Drosophila melanogaster: one gene and its partner. Each later gene encodes a partner of the first gene's protein in a complex. Each region holds a gene or a part of one and is shown in the gene's direction. Other genes may lie near its edges.

Region 1 (5,178 bases):
TTAGAACAATAACTATATAAAATTGTGTTATGAAAATAAGAGGGTTACTTACATTTGGCCTGCTGCTTCTCCCTTGCCGCCTGCTCCACAAAGATGGAGCTCTTCTTGGGCTTATCCAAAATCGAGGCATCCACGATGGATTTGTTATCGCCCAATGCTCGCTTGTTCGCCAAATCACCGGCCTTGGGCTCAAAGCGGGACACACGTCTCAGGATCTTAACCACGATACCACCAGATTGAGTAACGAGCGTGAGGACGTGATCCTCCATGCCCATTCGTCCGTACAGCATGGCATCCACCGTCTCCTCGAGAACAAACTCGTCGACGAGGTAGCGCTGCAAATAAAACTTGACCACTCCTCCTCTAAGGGCAATGGCCACCAGGGTGAGTCCCAGATGGGTCAAGGGCAGCGGTAGGAGGCAAACGGGTAGATCGGACATGGGCACCTGGTATAACAGCTTGCCCCGCTTTGAGTAGCACAGATAGCGATTGTCCATGGTGGAGGCGATTATCGTCTGATCGATGGGCAGCAGTAGGAGGCCGGTTAGGGGGATGCCGAGCTTGAAGATCTCCTGTCCCTCCGATTGGCTTTTCCGCAGGAGGTAGACACCGCCATTTCGCGTGGCCACCACGATGCAGAAATCCGTCTCAAAGGTTCCCTGCACGGAGATCAGGCTCGGCACGGCCGTCTCATCATCGCAGGCCTTGCCCTGGTAAACCAAATTGAAGCCCTGCGGCTCCAGGATCATGATGTGCCCGGTATCGGTGGCCAGGACCAAGTGGGACGGGGGATTGGCATCGCTGGAGATGCGCTTTATGCAGCACATGGCCACAATGTTGCCAACCCGACCCACTGGGGAGTCCTTGTGCGTGGCAATGAAGTGCTCCCGCTCCTGCTCGCCCATTTGCAGAAGTCGCTGCGATTTCCGCGACAGCTTGGAGTGGTCTATGGTTTTTAGGGAGTCAAGCAGGGCGGGATGGGCACTTGGCTTCACAACCGGCAGTTTTCGCCATACCTCCAGCTCCAGATCCTCGGAGTCCTGTGCGGGAATCGTGTACTTGAAGTATGGCTTTAGGTGACGATAGAAGAGCACTGACTCAGCGATGGCCACGGCAATTACTGGAAAATTGTATTCATTATGGAATCTAATTTAAAAATATTAAAATGCAACGTTATTTCTACCCGGCGTCTTGGGCTCCGTTTCGTCGATGTAGAGACTTTCAATGGCCGCTGGAATCCCCGGCAGTGGCTGCTCGTGCTTGAGTTTAAGACCACGGAAAACCTTCAGCGTGGCAGTGGGCTCCTCGGCGGCATTGTCCAGTGAAATGTCCGCCGCCAGCAGCCGGACATATCCGTCGCACTGCACGTCGCTCAGGGCCATGCAACTGGTGAGGGTGGTGAGATGCGGTGGAGGAGCCTCCTCCGCCGTGTCCACGTGAAGCCAGTTGGGAGCACCGGCCATGGCAGGATCTTGGTGAAAAATTTGCAGCACAGTGTGAAAACGAACAGGTGATTCAGGACATGCTTTTGTTTTGGTTTTTCTTGTCCTTAGCAACCGGGATGACAGCACATTTTTTGTTACTTATTTGGGTTTTTTCTTAAAAACACAAAATGATCGTCAGCATTATTCTTAAATGCTAACAGGGTAAAGCTACGTATAACTAAAAAATCATTTGGCAAAAGGTAAAACTGTGATCAAATTACTGATGATAGAAAATTTTATTTAAATTGGCCGCCAAAAATGCATTTTGTCTGGTCACACTTAAGGCCGGCCTGCTAAAGACGTGCAAGCATCGACAGTATGTGTTATCGATAAGTGCGAGGGAATATTCGATACCCACGTCAATTGCTTATCGCAAAAAACATTCGTTATAAATATCATCTCAGCGACGCCAGCAGTTGAATTCAATATTTAACATTTTGTATACATAAGTGACTGACTACGGCCCTATTTAACTGCAAGTAATGACGGAGCTAAGGGACGAGACACCGCTCTTTCACAAGGGCGAGATAGTCCTTTGCTACGAGCCGGATAAATCGAAGGCCCGTGTTCTTTACACCAGCAAGGTAAATACACATGCACACACACACACACGCGCGCGCATTGAAATGTCAAGCAAACGTCGTAGGCGAAGTTTTCACAAATGATTTTCCGTTTCCCGCAATTTTCCGTACATGCCGCAGGTGCTAAACGTCTTTGAGCGCCGGAACGAGCATGGCCTGAGGTTCTACGAGTACAAGATTCACTTCCAGGGCTGGCGTCCATCCTACGATCGCTGTGTGCGCGCCACCGTTCTATTGAAAGACACCGAGGAGAATCGCCAGTTGCAAAGGGAGCTGGCCGAAGCTGCCAAGCTGCAAATGTAAGATAACCCCCTAGACATGCGTGGAATACCTCTCTAACGAGTTCCCCCTTCTTTTTCGCACAGTCGTGGTGACTACTCCTACAAGGGCACACCCGATAAGCCATCGGCCAAGAAGAAACGCGGCGGAAAAGCGGCCCACGTTGAGGAGCCAATAGTGGTTCCAATGGACACGGGACATCTTGAGGCGGAGCACGAAATGGCGCCCACTCCACGAGCAGCGGGCAACCGGACGCGGGACAACAGCGGTGGCAAGCGAAAGGAAAAACCCCCGTCCGGAGATGGCCGATTAAAGGGAAACCGGGGCAGACAAACAGAGACCTTTTATAACAATGCCATAAATGATGTATCGGTCTATAACCATGTGCCACAGGAGGATCGCATTATGATGCGAGTCAGCGAGCGATTGCGAGAGCTTATAGAGTACGATCGGAATATGATCAAGGTACTAGGCAAACAGCACGCACTGCCCGCCCGCGTGCCCATCGTGACCATCATGGAAAACTTCGTCAAGCAGCAGGCCGTGGAGCTAGCCATTAGCATTAAACAGGACAGCTCGAGGGCCAGGAACACGCAGAGTCGCAATGCCAGAATGGAGCGGGAATACGATCGCGTTATGTCCACGTTGGTTACCACTCAATATCAGACTTAACAACCCACTTATACTCTTACTTATTAACAGTGTCTGCATGCTGAAGGAGGTGGTAGACGGATTGCGTATCTACTTTGAGTTCCACGTGGATGACCACTTGCTGTATACGGAGGAGAAGGAGTATGTCCACAACTACCTCACAGACGACAACATGCGCAACTGCAGCCTAATATTGAACAAGTCGTACGAGTATATCAATCCCAGCGGTGACACGGAACTGATCGGTCTGGACGGCACGCCAGTGGTAGAAGGGTCGGGCGACACCAATGGACAGATCGGAGTTATTAATATCGGCGGTCCGGAGTACGAGAAGCAGTTGCAAAAATGCCTGCTCTACATTGTTACCGCCAGCGGGAAAAACACTGCGCAGGCCTATGAGAGGACTTCCCCATATACGGCTGCCTACAAACTGCCCGTGGAGATGCGTGGATTTCTGAACGAAACATTCAAGTGGCGGCTTTTGTCAGCGGAATCGCCGCCAGAAAAGTCCATGGTCTTTGGCGCTCCCCACCTGGTTAGGCTAATGAGTATGTACAATCTTTCTTGCATTCTATAACACACATTAATTCATGGTACTTGCAGTTAAAATGCCCATGTTCTTAAACGCATCGCCGATCAGCAACAAGAAGCTAGAAGATCTACTTCCCCACCTCGACGCCTTCATCAAGTAAGTCTAAGACCCCTCCCTAGTCCATCACGAAGCTAATCTGTTGGTTTTTCAGCTACTTGGAGAACCACAGGGAGTGGTTCGACAGGGAAAACTTTGTTAACTCCACTGCCCTGCCCCAGGAAGATCTGCAGCGGGAGCTGTTGGACTCCCTGGATGGGATTGCTGCTTAGCTTTAGTTGATCGTAGTTATCTAGTTTATTTATTATTACGATTAAAGCTTATGCTCTTTTATTTAAAGATTTGTAATTGTCGTTTTGGTTTCTTCAACTACACACTTTGTAAACAACGCACTTCTATAAAAAAGTTTCCTAATGTGATCGTATAATCGAATAATGCCTATAACTATATATGTTAAATATTGAAAATACGATTTTAACATTTTTTTTTGTTTTTTTTTTTTTTTTTGCTTAACCTAAGTTTTAGTTGAGTAGTACATGCTAGTATTTTTGTCATGCCTTGTTTTTTGTGCTCAAATATATTTAAGAGTTGGAAAGTTGTTGTCTTTTGTATTAAGGATTTGCGGACCTTGAGTTGGAATGTGCAGGGAATTCTTAAGATTTGTATAATTTCTCAAAATATTGCAACTGTAACAACTATGTGTGTGCTGATTTGTGTTTCAGATCCTGCTTAGAAATTCGAAATTGTCGCTTGGACGGCTTGGAGTTGGATGCATTCGCGTTTGTAACATGTGTAAACTTGGGACGTTAACTTGGACGATGACTGAACTGGACTGGACTGCCGGCCCTCACTTCTGTCGCTTGGTGGCACTGCTGGCCGTGGGTCGCATGAAGCTGCTCACGGATCGACTGCTGCTAGTGCTCCTCTGCTGCGGACTGGGGTTCGCACTCATCCTGGCCTGCTGCTGCTGGTTCAGGGCATTTTTCACCAGCACCACGCTGCGAGCGGCGCTCATTCGGGACTGTGACTGGGGTTGGGACTGGGACTGGTTTTCCTTAAAACTGGTGCTACCATGGATACTCGATTTCGGAGCCGTGTTGGACATCTTGCTGCGCACCAAGATCACACTGGGTCCCACACTCGACCCGCTACTGCTGCTCCTGCTGGCGGGGACTCCACGTCCCTGGGTAGGTCGCAGATTCTGGGCGGCCAGTGGTCTTTTGCTGGGCGAGGAGTCAACGGACACAGTGGCTCCCGCTCGCTGAACGGCGGGCAGTCGTCTCACTACAGTTTGAGTGGAGGCTCCACTGTTGATGGACGATCGCGAGGAGCGCAGACTGTTTCTCGAACTGCTCCGCTCCACGCCGGCTAGAACCTGTTGCTCCTGCGGCGAGCGTCTCACAGTGGATGCGGATCTCAGCGGAGCTGCACTGGCCAACGGCTGACCGTTGGGCATGCGCAGCGGTCTGCTGGCGGAGAGGCTCCTCTTGACCGTTGCAGTTTGGGTGGCAGGGATTTGGTTTTGTGACTTGCTGGCTGCCGATCCTGAGGATCCGGAACTCTTCATCCTGGCCTGCTGCAGGCGATCGGCCAA
Region 2 (6,848 bases), on another chromosome or scaffold:
TCGATGGCGACAAGATTTTATTCAAGGCTGACGACTCCGATGCCAGCATGACCAGGACACTGGATCAACAGATCCAGGCTCCATCTCAGTTGTACCTAAAAGTTAACGCCCAAGTAATGCTACTCAAGAATATAAACATATCCAATGGACTGGTGAACGGAGCTCGAGGCGTCGTTGTAAGAATGGAGAAGGATCTGCCAGTGGTAAGGTTCAAAAACAACCAGGAATACGTTTGCAAGCACGAAAGGTGGATAATAAAGACCGCCTCAGGAAACCATATAACACGACGCCAAGTGCCACTGAAGTTAGCCTGGGCATTTTCCATACACAAGAGTCAGGGACTAACCCTCGACTGCGTGGAGATGTCCCTTTCCAAAGTATTTGAGGCTGGACAGGCCTATGTGGCCTTATCCCGTGCGAAATCCCTGCAGTCCATTCGCATCCTGGACTTTGACGCCAAGCAAGTGTGGGCCAATCCACACGTGCTGCAGTTCTACAAGGGATTCAGACGCAAGCTAATGGACACAACCATGATACCATTGGGTCCCAAAAACAAGGACAAGAAGCCAGGAGACAAGGCCGCAAATAGCGCTCTGGCTAAGCTCAAAAAGAGTCTCATCAACAAGCCGCTGGTCTCGATTAGCTGAGCTCGAAAGTAATCTAAGATAGCGTAATTCTAGAAAGCTTGAACAAATTTCACTATTGCCTATCTATTGGTATCTATTTCTAAAAGTGTAATTTTTTCTTTTTTTAAGAAAAGCAAATGATTTATGGACTGTGCATTCCTTTTTTTAAAAAATGAGAAATTATGGAACTCTTTTTGAAATTGTCTAAATTTTCGAAAAAGTCTGAAGAATTACAGTGTGAGTTTTATGATTTATCACTATATTCTGTAAACTTATTGCAGTACGCAGGCAAAAACTTTATTTTACTCACTGGAACAACTTAACCAAGGCTCTTAATCTTGAGAACTATTAGTTTTAAGCTAGTCTATAGCCAAAATTCTATATCAAACGCCAATATTAATATTTATTTTAAGAAAAACATGACTAAGAATAAATGCAACTAATAGACAAATGAATTGAAACTGCTGTAGTAATAAATAATTCCTAGTAGCTCTTACCTTATAATTTACACTGAAACAATTGAAAGAAAGCTCAATCCTTGGGAATATCGTTTTACGGCGTGTATATTTTGTTTTAACGGATAATGAAACTAGAAAACATCATCATAAAAGCGGAGTTTAATGGGCGGCCTCCTCCTTCATGCCACTGCCCACTGGTCCATGACGACGCTCCCAGATCAGACGATGCTTCTGCTTCATGTACGCGGTCTTGGCATTGGCGTAGCCTCCCAAGTCGCCATCTATAATGGGTTATATCTCGTTATATATCACATACAACTTTAAAGAAGATGGGTAAGGGATTCCACTCACACTTGATGAACCAGTTCTCGGTGGCCTTCTCGTACTGATCCATCAGCGGCCTGCACTTGACCATGTGATCGGGTGCCTCGTAGAGGGTGCAGTCCTCGAAGCGCTGGCGCAGAATGTTGACAATCTCGTTGTCGACCATGCGATCCCGGCGGAACTGCTGATCGGCCTCGAAACGGCAGACGGCATCGTCCGTGTAGCACTGGTCGATCGTCGGAACGCGGCGGAAGCGCTGGTGGTACCAATTCTGCTTCTGCTGGTTCGGCTCCACAATGCTCTCTGTGGGATTAACACAAGGCGCATTAATAAAATATACTAGCTGTAATGCATTTCTGTTGAAAAACATGATCCCGCTTTGACTAGATGAACTATATAGTAACGGACGGCATTTAAGGGCTGCCGACTAGTATTCTAAGAGATTTAGTTTGCGCTAGCTAGAAATTACTTAAAACGGTTGATTATAAACATTTTAGCATTTCAGCAATACAGTGTAAACAAAAACAAATGGACTGCGAGTTGAGGTTATGTCATTATGTAATTGTCTGGAATTTGTCCGGTTTTTCCGATCGTTGGCCAAAGGAAACGCAAACTTGCAGCATCTGGAGACTCCCATGACCATGGCCATTGGGAATCCCTGTGGACTACATACCACGGAACCAAGTTATGGGTCCATCGATGACATTCAGCACCGACTCGGCAAAACTGGCCATCGGACTGCGCGGTTCCGGCATTTTCTGGCTCTCCTACCACCTGGCGTAAGCGGAAGAGCTGTTAGTAAATAATTTCCAAGGTTTTCCGCTTTCCTTTGACGGAAAATACTTAAAAAACCATATTTACTTGAAAAACTAAGTGTTAAAATTTGTTGTAGGACCGCAGTTCGTAACTGCGAAAATTCCTCAGAGCACTGAAATCAGCTGTTCGAGGTAGTGGTCACACCTATGCCGCACTGCAGCTAGCATGTTCGCACTGGCACACTGCGGTCACACTGGCTTCGCTCAGCAAAATATTGCTTGGGTAATTTTTTTTTTTAGTTGCTAATTTATTGTTTTCAACGCTGTTGCACAGTGTGCAGCATAACCATTAACAATGACTTGAGACCTCTCAAACGTAAACCAATTTTTTTTTTTTTTTTGCACGTGAAACATAGTGATAACGAAGCCACAAAAGTGAAACCAACAAAAAGCGTTCCAGTAAAGTTACCATTAGATAATGAAATCGAGGATTAACGCGGTCTAAGCATGTGTAACTGAGCTCCTACGGGCGAGGAATTGCAGGTAACTAGCCCAGGAGGCACCAGGTAGCGGAGCAGGTGGCGTGGGTCGGACCGACAAGGCACTTACTTGGCCAGCGGAGTCTCACTTTTGGGCTGAAAAACGTAAACAAACAGCGGCGTGCGTACAGTCCCGGGCATAAAAATATAGCCATCATGGCCCAGACGGCATACTTGAAGGTGACACGCATCGCGATGCGCTCCGCTTCGAATCTTTCCAAACGGCGGGTGGAGGAGCTGAACTCCGGGCTCGGCGAGCTACGGCAGCTGCTGTCTTGCGTGGTCTGCTGCCAGCTGCTGGTGGATCCCTACTCGCCCAAGGGCAAGCGGTGCCAGCACAACGTGTGCCGGCTGTGTCTGCGCGGTAAGAAGCATCTGTTTCCCAGCTGCACCCAGTGCGAGGGTTGCTCCGACTTCAAGACCTACGAGGAGAACCGTATGATGGCCGCCCAGCTACTGTGCTACAAGACGCTGTGCGTCCACCTGCTCCACTCGGCATTATTTGGTGAGCTGGCCGGGATGCGGCCCCAGGTGGCCAGGGAGCTGGTGCCTCGCATCAAGCTGCCTCCCAAAACCACACAGGAGTTCATTCGCGAGGGCTCAAACATCTCCGACACTTTTGACATCTTTCTGCCCCAGCCGGATTTGCCGTTCCTCAAGGACATGCCCACATCGCTGCCCGCAGAGACGCCGCCTACGTCGGCGGTCACGACTCCGGAACTGCCCTATGATCACCACCTCAACATCAGCGACATTGAGGCGGAGGCGGCGGCCACAGCGGAGCAGGGTCACTTCTCGCCGCTTCCCCTGCTGCCCACAGGATCTCGCATGGGCATGCTCTCTCACGCCGGGCAAATAGTCATTGCCACCGAGAGCTCGGAGTCGGGCTTCATGGACCAAGCGTGGACGGATCAGGTAGACCTGTCTGGCACGGTTTCGGTGTCCAAATACACAAATAGCGGCAACAACTTTGCTGTCTCCTACGTGATGCCCACTTCTGCGACCACGAAGTTCGATCCACAGGAACTGCAAATCGGCCAGGTGGTGCAAATGGCGGACTCCACTCAGTTGGCTGTGCTGGCTGCCGTTGAGGAGACCGTCGAGACGTCCACACAGTTGACTGTGCTCTCCACCACCGTTGAAGAGACCGTTGAAACATCCACGCAGCTAGAAGTGCTTACCTCCGCTGAGGAACCCAACGAAATCTCTGATCAATTGGCTAATCTGCAAGTTGAGGAATCTGATGAGGCTCTGGTTGAAGAGACCGTTGAAGAGGCCGAAGGGACCTCAATCCCGTCAGAGGTTGTAGCTGAGCACATGGAGGAGGATCAACACTTGGATGTGCACACTTCACAGTCACCTACACAAACCGAAATGGAGGAAGCAGTGGAGGAGCATGTTGCCACAAAAACACAATTGGGTCATGTGCAAACAGAATTGCAGGATGCGGAGTCGTTGCAGAAAGATTTTGAGGACGCAAAGGCAGCGGCTGAAGAGGCGAAGGAGAAGGAGAAGGACCTGCACGCAATCAGTGCTGAGCTGCAGAAGGAGGACAGTGACGAGCCAACACTTAAGCGAAAGAGAACCCGTACTCTCAAAGCGTCACAAGCTGCCAAAATTGAGCCTGTACCGTCTGAGGTCAAGACTAAAGTGCAATCTGGAAAGGGCGCTCTTCGCAGGATTCGGGGCAAGGACAAGGAGGAAAAGGTGAAGCCTCCGAAGCCGAAGTGCCGCTGCGGTATCTCCGGCTCGAGCAATACCCTCACCACCTGCCGGAATTCCCGATGTCCTTGCTACAAGAGTTACAACAGCTGTGCCGGGTGTCATTGCGTGTGCTGCAAGAATCCGCACAAGGAGGACTACGTTGAAAGTGATGAGGACGATGATTTGGAGGATTTCGAAATGCCGAAGGACGTTCCAGAGCCGATGACTCAGTCGGAGGAGCCGGTGGTAGCTGAGCCTAGGCAGGAGGAGAACAGTATGGCGCCGCCAGACTCTTCTGCCCCCATAAGCCTAGTGCCGCTAAATAATTTGCAGCAATCCCAGCATCCTTTGGTGCTTGTTCAGAATGAGAAAGGCGAGTACCAGGGTAAGTTACCTCATCGCTGTGTTAGACCTATCTAACCCTGTTCCAATTGCAGGCTTCAATATCTTCCAGGGCAGCAAGCCCCTTGATCCGGTCACCGTTGGCTTCACTATTCGTGTCCAGCTGCAGCACACCGATGGCTTCGGTTCCCTTCCCCAGTATGCTTATATAATGCCAACAATTGACCCGCCGAATCCACCAGCTCCATCACTTTCGCCACCACCGCCTCCTGCTCCTGACAGGGAAGTCATCGAGCCACCGGCCAAGAAATTCAGGACCAGTCGAACACGCCGAGGAAGGGCCAACTTCTCGGCCCTCGACACGGTGGATGAGCTTGTCAGTGGCGGATCCAGGAGCAATTCTGCCGCTGGCGACAGATCATCGGCCACTGACAATGCCCATTCACTGTTCGAGGAGATCATGTCGGGCTCGGATGACTTGTAAGCAAGACGACTCATCCCTATATGTTTGTTTTTTTATGTGCTCAGTGATGTCCAGGTATCAATCCTTTAATAGATAATTTTTATGTACGTTATGGATGGTCGAATTCAGCACTGAATTGCATCCATAACGTGGTATCGTCTTTGATCCTCTTATCATACCCGTTATTCGTAGAGTAAAAGGGTATACTAGATGTGTTTCCGACCATGTAAAGTATATATATTCTTGATCAGGATCAATAGTCGAGTCGATCTGGCCCTGTCCGTATGAATGTCTCGATCTCAGGAACTATAAAAGCTAGAAGGTTGAGATTAAGCATATAAATTCTAGAGACATAGATGCAGCGCTTGGTTGTTTACCCATGTTGCCACGCCCACTTACCGCCCAAAACTTCCACGCCCACAATTTTAAATTTTTTCTCATTTTATTTCCCAATATCTCTTGGATATCCCAGAAAAATGATGAAATTTCGCGTTCGTATTTCCACTAGCTGAGTAACGGGTATCTGATAGTCGGGAAATTCGACTTTAGCATTCTCTCTTGTTTTTAACTTGTGGTTTCGTTATGCTATATATTCCCCCACTCAAACAACTTCCACTCAAATCAACTCCCAAATATCTTTTAGGAGCATTCTACAATCTGATTTTTGTAATCATCCAGCAAACGTTTCCAAAACTCAATTTTTTTTTAATACGTATTAAGCCAAAAGTCGTATACATAACTATTTAAAGCAATTCTGCAGCTGCAGCAAAGATAATCTATTTAAGAGTAAAGCATTAGTCAAAACTAAAGATTATTTTCGTTCAACGAACAGCGAATTATAGATTGCTTTGCCCAAAATGTGGATGCTGTGAGCTAAAAAAAACCTTTTTTTTTAATAGGCTAAGACATTTTTTTGAATAGGCTAAGACTTTTTTTGAGCATGAATTTTTTTGAGCACGTGAACCTAGGATTAAGAACAACAATTCAAGTAAGCCATATATACCCATATTATATATGCGAACATATAACTATTAAAATATTCAAATAAAAATGAGCATTGCTACTACAGAAAAATGCGCGATTTTCTTTGGGTTTCAAAACCGTTTTCGAACCGTAACACTCTTTGCCTCATGCAAGCTGCTAGTTCATGATTTCTAGAACATCGTTCCTGGGAGTGGAGTGAGTTCCATGAGTGCCTACAATGTGCTGGCCGCTTCCGCTCACTTAAGTCACTCAATCTCAATTCCGAGTTTAATCAGCAGCTCCGCGAGCAGAGTCGCCCTTAGATAAGCGGATCGCCGCCTGCGGCTCATCATTATCTTTTGATTAACGCGCCAGTCGACAGTGCGTGTTTGTTCCGAGTAGAGAACGGAGGCTGGCGCGTTTTCTTCCATTTTCCAACTGATAAGCAGAAGCTCCAGCTAATCCCCGAAAGATGAAGCCGTTGATAGTGGTCGTGCTCGTGGGCCTGATGGCAAGTGGCTGCCACATTGTTCACTCCCAGGAGCCTGGCGATGGTAAGACGAATTCCAGTCTGAGCTCTACCGGAACTAAGCCACTCATTAATGACCTTTGAGCAGCTGTGGAGCAGGAAGCCAGCGAGTCGGATGACGCACTTAAGATCAAAGAGAGTCAGG

The links. Proteins that work in one complex are often made in the same cells at the same time.
Region 2: msl-3 (region 1) and msl-2 share a complex: the UniProt entries of both Drosophila melanogaster proteins name them as parts of the male-specific lethal (MSL) histone acetyltransferase complex.

Annotation. Positions count from the first base shown.
Region 1 is NT_037436.4:7,122,211-7,127,388, reverse strand, and holds msl-3 (male-specific lethal 3), read left to right. Parts: upstream 1-1,855; 5' UTR 1,856-1,966; coding exon 1,967-2,068; intron 2,069-2,185; coding exon 2,186-2,364; intron 2,365-2,430; coding exon 2,431-2,988; intron 2,989-3,046; coding exon 3,047-3,543; intron 3,544-3,598; coding exon 3,599-3,683; intron 3,684-3,738; coding exon 3,739-3,856; 3' UTR 3,857-4,176; downstream 4,177-5,178. Other genes in the region: BBS1 (Bardet-Biedl syndrome 1), read right to left, coding at 53-1,120, 1,184-1,463; form3 (formin 3), read right to left, coding at 4,432-5,178. UniProt on the Drosophila melanogaster protein: Component of the male-specific lethal (MSL) histone acetyltransferase complex, a multiprotein complex essential for elevating transcription of the single X chromosome in the male (X chromosome dosage compensation).
Region 2 is NT_033779.5:3,461,650-3,468,497, reverse strand, and holds msl-2 (male-specific lethal 2), read left to right. Parts: upstream 1-2,385; 5' UTR 2,386-2,446; exon of another isoform or gene 2,447-2,579; 5' UTR 2,580-2,858; coding exon 2,859-4,791; intron 4,792-4,843; coding exon 4,844-5,232; 3' UTR 5,233-6,280; downstream 6,281-6,848. Other genes in the region: Pif1 DNA helicase, read left to right, coding at 1-647; ND-PDSW (NADH dehydrogenase (ubiquinone) PDSW subunit), read right to left, coding at 1,244-1,365, 1,436-1,711, 2,082-2,163; CG3246 (uncharacterized protein), read left to right, coding at 6,647-6,728, 6,792-6,848. UniProt on the Drosophila melanogaster protein: Limiting component of the male-specific lethal (MSL) histone acetyltransferase complex, a multiprotein complex essential for elevating transcription of the single X chromosome in the male (X chromosome dosage compensation).